Linked DNA regions of Callithrix jacchus. The main gene of each other region encodes a partner of the protein of the gene in region 2 in a complex. Links are inferred from orthologs where the notes say so. Each region holds a gene or a part of one and is shown on either strand. Other genes may lie near its edges.

Region 1 (4,506 bases), on a different chromosome or scaffold from region 2:
ATAGGCTACATCATCATTTAAAGCCTCCCAGGGCGACAACCTAACCCCTGCCCTAAGAACATGCTTCAAGTCCAGGCTGATATGGTATAGTATTACTGTAGTAGTTAATGATTGAAATGCCCGACAAGCAGAAGTTTGATCATTTAATGATAATGTGCAGCAGGCAGAAGTTCAGTGCCTAATGTTCCCGTGTCTTATTTATTTCAGGAGTTGCTGGATAAATACTTAATAGCCAATGCAACTAATCCAGAGAGTAAGGTCTTCTATCTGAAAATGAAGGGTGATTACTTCCGGTACCTTGCTGAAGTTGCATGTGGTGATGATCGAAAACGTAAGTATATTTGTTATATGGGCAAAACTAAAGTACAAAAAAAGGGGACAAACAGGTCACTGTGACAATATATGTAGCCTCCAGGCTCTTTGTGATGTAAAAATAATTGAACATACATCAAGAAAATTAGTATTATCTTACATTCTCAAAAATGAAAATTGGGTCATAAATTTACATCATGTGCCCTTTAAAAGAAAGACTCATCTATGAACTTTAGTTATAATTGCACATGGTATTACTTAAAACAGGCATAATCTTTCATGCTTTAGAATTTTGGTTCACTGTGCTCTTTCCACCATCTTTCCGCGCCACCACAGTGGTCCACATAAATGTCCTGGCTGATGCTCTCGAGCATCAACGATGCCGAAAAGAGGCAAACACCAGGTGCTTATTAGGCCATGCTCCAAAGTCATCATCTGGTTTCTCATTGTGATGATGAAGCATGGTTACATTGGCAAATTTGAAATCATTGATGATCACAGAGCTGGGAAAATTGTTGTGAACCTCACAGGCAGGCTAAAGAAGTCTGGAGTGATCAGCCCTAGATTTGATGTGCAACTCAAAGGTCTAGAAAAATGGCAGAATTTACTTTATCCTGCCAGTTTGGTTTCGTTTTTAGCTCCAGAGATTTTTGCGCAAACTTTATGAGTCATTCTGCATTTCACATGGCCTTTTTGTCATTATGCCTTAAAATGCAGATAACTGAAATTACTCATAGAACATGGAATCAGGATGTTGTGCCTTTTCTGTTTGTCATATTAATTCATTATCATCTATTTTAAGGGGTCATAACATTGACTGCTAATTACATGTAATCAAATTTCTGAGGAGGAGAGGTGAGATGAATATGTTATTGCTGGTATATTATTGCTGGTATATTGCTGGTTTATTGCTTCACAGTAAATTTGAATGACCCATATGGTTAGGTTTTACTTGAGAAAGTTGAATACACAGGAATTGATGATTAATCAAGTAGTAGTCATAAAAATAGATTTCAGTATTAAATGTCTATTTTGTTTTTACCTAGACTATCATAAAAAAACATGGATATGGGAAAAAGTGATCAAATTGCCTAACTTGATAATAAAAAAGTGAAGTGAATTTATTTGCAGTGAGTGTCTCCTGGGATGCTGGTAGCAGAGTATAAGATCCTATTAAATTCTGTGCATGTGCTTGCTACCAGATTTATCAAGTTCTAGGTAGTAGAAGTATCACTTAATTCCTTATTTTTTCCAGAAAGTTTGTTATTTTGTTTTTTGCCATCCTAAATATCAGTGTAACTGAATATATAAAGACAAGTTGTACCTTGAGAAACTGTTGTACCTTGCTGTAACAAAATCTGTATACTAAACTTATTCTGTTACTGATGTATAATTTCTATTGCCATGAAGATAAGCAGAATTGGACATGATACTGGCACGGAACTGAACATTTAAGTATCAGGAAGCCAAAGAGAAGTCTTTGGGAGATTGAGACATAGCCGCAGCTTTAACCTGATTTAACTTTTAGGAGCTCATTGGCACTTTCAGGTATCACGTGTAGTCCCATGTACATTCTCATAGTCTGGGATTTGTAGATAGGCTGTCTTTATAGCCTAACTGCTGAGACACTTTACTTACTACTATTCTAGTGCTTCCTAATTTGCCAGGCTGCAAATAATAATAATTATTATTATTATGCTTGCATGCAGTCTATACCATTCAGGATTAGATCAATAAATGTGCCATTTCAGAGGAAGGAAAACGCACATATTCAGGTCATAAAGGGATAGCTTAATTCTCTTACGTCAGTATCTCTAAAGCTGTTATAGGCCAGTGCCCTCATACAGAAAACTGCCCTTTTCAAAATATGGGTATAATCAGATTAGTGTTGGTAATAACTGAAAATTTTTTGAAGGGAGAGTAACATTTTGATTAGGCCAGTAATCATACTCGGGTTGGAGCAGATTTTGTCCTGTGTATTGAAACTTTTATATTGCCTTTCAAATAATGCATCTTGATACTAAGAGTCAGTATTTCTCCAATTAGAAAAATAGAGATTTTGGTGGTGACGATCTTTGTAAACTTTATATTATTTAGGGGAAGTGTATTCCAGTCAAATTATTATTATTATTGAGATGGAGTTTTGCTTTTGTTGCTTAGGCTGGAGTACAATGGTTCGATCTCGACTCACTGTAACCTCCACCTCCCAGGTTCAAGCAATTCTGGTGCCTCTGCCTTCCAAGTGGCTGGGATTACAGGCATGCACCACCAAACCCAGCTAATTTTTGTATTACTAGTAGAGACAAGGTTTCTCCATATTGGTCAGGCTGGTCTCAAACTACTGACCTCAGGTGATCCGCCCGCTTCGGCCTCCCAAACTGCTGGGATTACAGGTGTGAGCCACTGTGCCTGGCCCAGTCAAATTATTTTTAATTGCTACATTTCCAAGTAATAGAATTAAAAGATATAAAAGAATAAAGTAGCTTGTAGCCTGAGGATGGAAAAAATCCGATTTACTATAATATCTCATGATTTTTAAAAAATTAAGCTGATTATATGTAAGCAACATTCTGAACTGGTTGTTTGTTTGTTTGAGACAAACTCTGTTACTCAGGTTGGGAGTGCAGCAGCATGATCTTGGCTCACTGCAGCTTCGACCTTGTGGGCTTAAGGGATCCTCCCACCTCAGCCTCCCAAGTAGCTGGAACTACAGGCATGCACCACCATGCCTAGCTTTTTTTTCTTCTTCTTCTTTTTAATTTTTCATAGAGAACAGGGATAAGGTCTTCCTTCCTATGTTGCCCAAGCTGGTCTTGAACTTTTGGGTTCAGTTGATCCCGCCCCAGGGTTACAGGCATGAGTCACTACACCTGGCCATAAACTAGTTCTCAAATACCCAGTACATAATTTTTTTTTTTTTTTTTAAAGACAGAGCGTTTTTCTGTCGCCCAGGCTGGAGTGCAGGGGCATATTCTTGGCCTCCCACATTCAAGTGATTCTCATGCCTGAGCCTGCTAAGTAGCTGGGATTACAGGTGCCCGCCCATCATGCCTGACTAATTTTTGTATTTTTAGTAGAGATGGGGTTTTGCCATGCTTGCCAGGCTGGTCTCGAACTCCTGATCTCAGGTGATCTGTCCACCTCAGCCTCCCACAGTGCTGGGATTATGGTCGTGAGCCATGGCACCCAGCCACAATAATGTTTTTTTGTTAGCTACCGTGATTTTAAAAGACCCATACAGAGAAAAGTCTTGGTTCTACCAAAGAGCTCATAGCGTATGTTCAGGTTGTTAATATACTTTGTACTGGATGATTATTGTCAGTATTGCACTTTTAATTTTTTTCTCTTCACAGAAACGATAGATAATTCCCAAGGGGCTTACCAAGAGGCATTTGATATAAGCAAGAAGGAAATGCAACCCACACACCCAATACGCCTGGGGCTTGCTCTTAACTTTTCTGTATTTTACTATGAGATTCTTAATAACCCAGAGCTTGCCTGCACGCTGGCTAAAACGGTAAGATGTGTGTCCAGGAAATACCCACTTTAGCTACAGTTATTTGAGATACCAGGTATGTTAATTTATTGGTATTTTACTTGGCTACCAAGGGATGATTTCTACTGTATTTATTTTGAAATCTCTTTCTTACCATCAAGATCAGTAACTTCTGCCCCTGACACCTTATTCTACACTAACTATGATTATAAGCAGTTATGTCTGTCTACAGAGCATACTGAGCAGAATAATCAAAGAAGGATAAATGATGTTAAGAAGGAAACATAAAAGATTGGAAAGTAATGCCTGCCAGGTTTGGTCACTAGAGTAGCTGTGCATTAGCTGCATTCCTCAAAGTGGCTCAAAATGAGAGCGTGAAGAGGAGCCTGTACAGATAAATACTACTTCTTATTGGAAAGAAGTATATTAATCGTTGCTGCTGTTCTGTTTGTCCTGTGAAAGAATGAAGACATGCTTGTTTACTTAAATGTATAGTTTTATAAAAGTGCAGTCATACTCTTAAGTTCTTAAACTGAGAGTGTGAGAGAATGGTTCCGTTGAGTTTGTTGATATTAGAACATAAGATAGGTGTTCACCTATTTTTACAAAATGGTTTGTAATTGTAGAATAACCAGTTTTTGTCAATGCACATATTTTACCATGGATATTAATATTTATCAGGCTTTCGATGAGGCCAT
Region 2 (4,506 bases):
GATTTCATAAGGAACTGGTCATAGATGTGAGGGAGAGAATTAAGAACTGAGTGTGGGGGGAAAAAACCTGTGTACATTTTGATGGGATCCATTACCTAGCTCTTGCATGCTGTTTTCAAAAATAAGTTACACATCGAAAATTGCTTTAGACTTTATTTTAAAATTTTGTCATTGGTTTTTCAAAAAAATTTTAAATTGGTTTTAAAAATGTCTTAATTGTGTGCTGGTTGAACACAATTTTCTACAGAAGTACCAATAATTACATGTATAAACACAGAGTCCTATGTACATGAGATATAAGTAAAGTTACAATCACACTTGAAAAATTTAAGTGTTATGAAGAAATTATCCCATTTCTATTAATATGGAAACTGTGTCTTCATCTTTATTATGGTTCTAAGATCAATGAAATGTAGATTTTACTTGCTTATAGTTTCATATTTTACTAGCTTATAGTTTCATATATTTTACTATTATAATAGTAAAATATAAATAGTAAAATATTATGGGTATACCTTTTGTTGTGAAGTACTCACACTTACTTGGAACTTTTACGAATATGATACAGAGACTGAAACCACAGGAACAAATTGCGATATTGATTATACAGTTGTGGCAGCACTGCTTTCAATTTGTTGATAGCAGTTAACACTTAGAAAAACATTTTAAAAATAATTTCACACAAATGCTGCAATTTATTAGCTATCTCTGACATTTTACAGTTTGAAATAGTCTACTTTCTTCTTGGTATCCTCACCTAAATGTAAGATCTTTGAAGGCAGGAACTGTATCATTTTTTGCCATTGTATTTTGAGCACATAGCATGGTACTGGCCTCTAAATAGATACTATTGATAAAAGGTTTTCTTTTTTAAGGTCATATTTTAAAGTGTATGCTATGGTACAATTCAGTTTGTAACTTTTGCTAGTTTATTCCACTTACATCTAACAAAAGCATGTCAGCAGTTCTTGGAATGTTGTGAAAAGTGATAAAAATCTTTTCAACTTATTCCTTTATTTCTCATTTAAATTAATCTACCCTAGTAAAAAGACATGTATAAAAGTGCTACTTCTGCACCAGTTTTGAGAATAGTGTTATTTCAGTGAATGGATGTGGTGACCATATTGTAATGCATGTAGTGAACTGTTTAAGGAAAATCATCTACACTAAAAGATACAGGAAATAGTGAGGAAATGTAATTTAATTTCCATTTTCCTTTTAGAGCTGTATACAAAGATGCTGATTTGTATTTATTAGACTCTCCTTTTGGATACCTAGATGTTTTAACAGAAAAAGAAATATTTGAAAGGTATGTTTTTTGAATAACTTACTTACAATGCTCATGCTAAAATACAAGAAAGAAAGACTGTACCATCATACACTACATTTTACCTCTTAAGAAATATGTTCACCCTTGTTGGTATTAACTCAAGCCTGATCTTCCCTACCTGGCCAAGATTCAAGATCACTTCCATTAAACCCTTTTCTGTCCATTTCATGCTAAACCAATTTTTCCCATTGCTATACTGTTATAGCAATTGCCATCTGTGTAGTTTTTGCAGTATTATTGTCTTGTGACATATATTACTTTAATTGATTATTATGCTTAACATTTTCATTTACTTTTTTGTGTTAGTATTTTATTCTGTCTTCTCCTTAAGTAGTACACTTCTTAAGAAAATGCCTATGCCAAATGTTTTTGCTAGTTTTGCTACTGGTTTAATGTAGGTGAATGCTTAGACTACTCATCTACCTCAGTACTTCTTCGGGGACCTCCTTCTCAGTCACACAGAGCTCAGAACTTATATTTCCTTGGAACTACCGTTAGGGTCCAATATACATGATATTCCCTAGACAGACAGTTAGTTATATGACCTGACTTCAAAATTTTAAAATGATTCCATGGACTGTAAGGTAGTCTATTAGGAGAACAGTTATTATGCTCTTCTAGAAATAAAGACTTTAAGCTATAAATATGGATATGTGTATAAAATGGCTGGATTATGCCTAGAAGTACTTTTCTTAAAATTTAGTTAAATTTGATATCCAAGATACTATTTTTACAACCCTGTGACTGTGATAAGTAACTTCTATATTAATATAAACCTTGCTGCATTTGTATTGTTGTGTTAGTGTGTTACGGAATAATCTAGAATGATGTATCTTTCTATATGATATATAATATTTTAATGCCTAAAAAACTGATATTTCTTAGATCATTCTAGTCTGGATTTACTTCTAGAATAAATGAAAATTTTATTAGAAGAGAGTCAAATTAATTATCAAATTCTCAGTTATTGTTGCTGTTTTATTTTTAGTGAAACAGATTAGTTTTAATGTAAGCACTTGAGAAATAAATTGGTGGTCAACCTAAAATGTAAAAAAAAGAAAGAAATTAATAGAAAATTTAAAGAACAATAAGACTCTGACATTTAAAAGACATGGAAGTACAGCTCTCTAGGGACCTTGAAGATCATCTAATACTTTCCTCATTTTCTAGATAAATAAACTGAGACCCAGAGGATAAATGATTTGCTCACAGCCAAATATCTGCTTAATATAGGAAATTTTATTTCATTCTCAGTCTGTTAACATGCAACTTTTCTTTAATACAGCATGATATTTCATGCTATCAGAATTCACAAGGTACTAATTTAATTACTACAGGGTACTTATAGAATCATTTAAAATATAATAAAATTGTATAATACAGATTATATGCAATAAAACAATAAAATGCTAAAATGCAAGACATTATTGTAATAAAGTATTTATAAAATTGATATTTATATCTTTTTATATTCTTAAAGCTGTGTCTGTAAACTGATGGCTAACAAAACTAGGATTCTGGTCACTTCCAAAATGGAACATTTAAAGAAAGCTGACAAAATACTAATTTTACATGAAGGTAGCAGCTATTTTTATGGGACATTTTCAGAACTCCAAAATCTACGGCCAGACTTTAGCTCAAAACTCATGGGATATGATTCTTTTGACCAATTTAGTTCAGAAAGAAGAAATTCAATCCTCACTGAGACCTTACGCCGTTTCTCTTTAGAAGGAGATGCTCCTGTCTCCTGGACAGAAACAAAAAAACAATCTTTTAAACAGACTGGAGAGTTTGGGGAGAAAAGAAAGAATTCTATTCTCAATTCCATTAACTCTATACGAAAATTTTCCATTGTACAAAAGACTCCCTTACAAATGAATGGCATCGAAGAGGATTCTGATGAGCCTTTAGAGAGAAGGCTCTCCTTAGTTCCAGATTCTGAGCAGGGAGAAGCAATACTACCTCGCATCAGCGTGATCAACACTGGCCCCGCACTTCAGGTACGAAGGAGACAGTCTGTTCTGAACATGATGACACACTCAGTTAACCAAGGTCAGAGCATTCACCGAAAGACAACAGCATCCACACGAAAAGTGTCACTGGCCCCTCAGGCAAACCTGACTGAGCTGGATATATATTCAAGAAGGTTATCTCAAGAAACTGGCTTGGAAATAAGTGAAGAAATTAATGAAGAAGACTTAAAGGTCAGTATAAATTGCTTGCGGGTACTTCACCCCCCAGAGTGCAGTTGAGTAGAATGCAATATGTAGCATGTAACAAAATTTACTCAAATTATGAGATTAGGATAAGGTTTGTCTTAAAACTCAGAAAGTATGAAGTTTATTAATTATGCAAGCAACTTTAAAATGTAAAATAACAAATAATTTCTTTTTGCAATGGACATATCTCTTCCCATGAAATGGGAAAGGATTTAGTTTGGAGTCCTTTACAAAGCCAGTGATAATCGTGACTATAAGTTAGAAAGCACCTGCTTTATTACCATCTTGAACTCTCTGTGGAAAGAGGTGCAGTTTAAATAACTCTGTAAACAAATAGTAGCTTTCATTATTTAGAGCTCGCAAAATAATTTGTATGGAAGTAGTTTATATAAGGTATATAAACATTTAGCCTCTTAATAGGACTAACTCATATTCTGGTTTATATATCAGTCTTGCCTGAATTTAGCTAGTGTGGGCTTTTTTTATCTTGTAAGTTTGCTTTATACATTGGGTTTCTGAAAAGCTTTCTTTTAAAAAATGTATATGAAGCTCAACATATACTAGTGCCAATCTTCAGACAGAATGCTTGTTATATTAGGTTTCCAGTATAAAAGCATTTTATTTTTAAAAGAGGAAAAAAATATACTAAGGAAAGTTTTTGTTGTTTTAGTAGAAAACTTAATGCCTTGGATGAAATGAGCCATAGGCAGGGTTGTAATGAATTGTTATGTTTAATAGCATAGATCATTTGAGAATAATGTGACCTTTGACAAGACACAAGTCATTAACATCTCTAGGCTGAAGTTGCCTCCTTTGTAAAATGAGGGAATAAAATACATCCCTAAAGTATATAATTTAATGATAATTTGTCTGTATAGTTTTTTTTTTTTTTGAGATGGAGTTTTGCTCTGTCACCCAGGCTAGAGTGCAATGGCGTGAACTTGGCTCACTGTAATC

The links.
Region 1: the proteins of CFTR (region 2) and YWHAQ are in contact, whole or in part, in a crystal structure (PDB 7QI1), measured with the Homo sapiens proteins. The link is inferred for Callithrix jacchus from reciprocal best matches to the Homo sapiens genes CFTR and YWHAQ. Residues at the interface, in NP_000483.3 of Homo sapiens: Arg764, Arg765, Arg766, Gln767, Ser768, Val769, Leu770, Asn771, Leu772, Met773, Thr774; in NP_006817.1 of Homo sapiens: Asn38, Arg41, Asn42, Ser45, Val46, Lys49, Arg56, Arg60, Glu113, Phe117, Lys120, Arg127, Tyr128, Glu131, His164, Pro165, Ile166, Gly169, Leu172, Asn173, Val176, Glu180, Ile217, Leu220, Asn224, Leu227, Trp228.

What each region holds. Positions count from the first base shown.
Region 1 is NC_133515.1:105,390,281-105,394,786, forward strand, and holds part of YWHAQ (14-3-3 protein theta), read left to right. Parts: intron 1-207; coding exon 208-331; intron 332-3,665; coding exon 3,666-3,829; intron 3,830-4,489; coding exon 4,490-4,506. UniProt on the Homo sapiens protein: Adapter protein implicated in the regulation of a large spectrum of both general and specialized signaling pathways. Binds to a large number of partners, usually by recognition of a phosphoserine or phosphothreonine motif.
Region 2 is NC_133512.1:88,177,551-88,182,056, forward strand, and holds part of CFTR (cystic fibrosis transmembrane conductance regulator), read left to right. Parts: intron 1-1,222; coding exon 1,223-1,309; intron 1,310-2,810; coding exon 2,811-3,534; intron 3,535-4,506. UniProt on the Homo sapiens protein: Epithelial ion channel that plays an important role in the regulation of epithelial ion and water transport and fluid homeostasis. Mediates the transport of chloride ions across the cell membrane.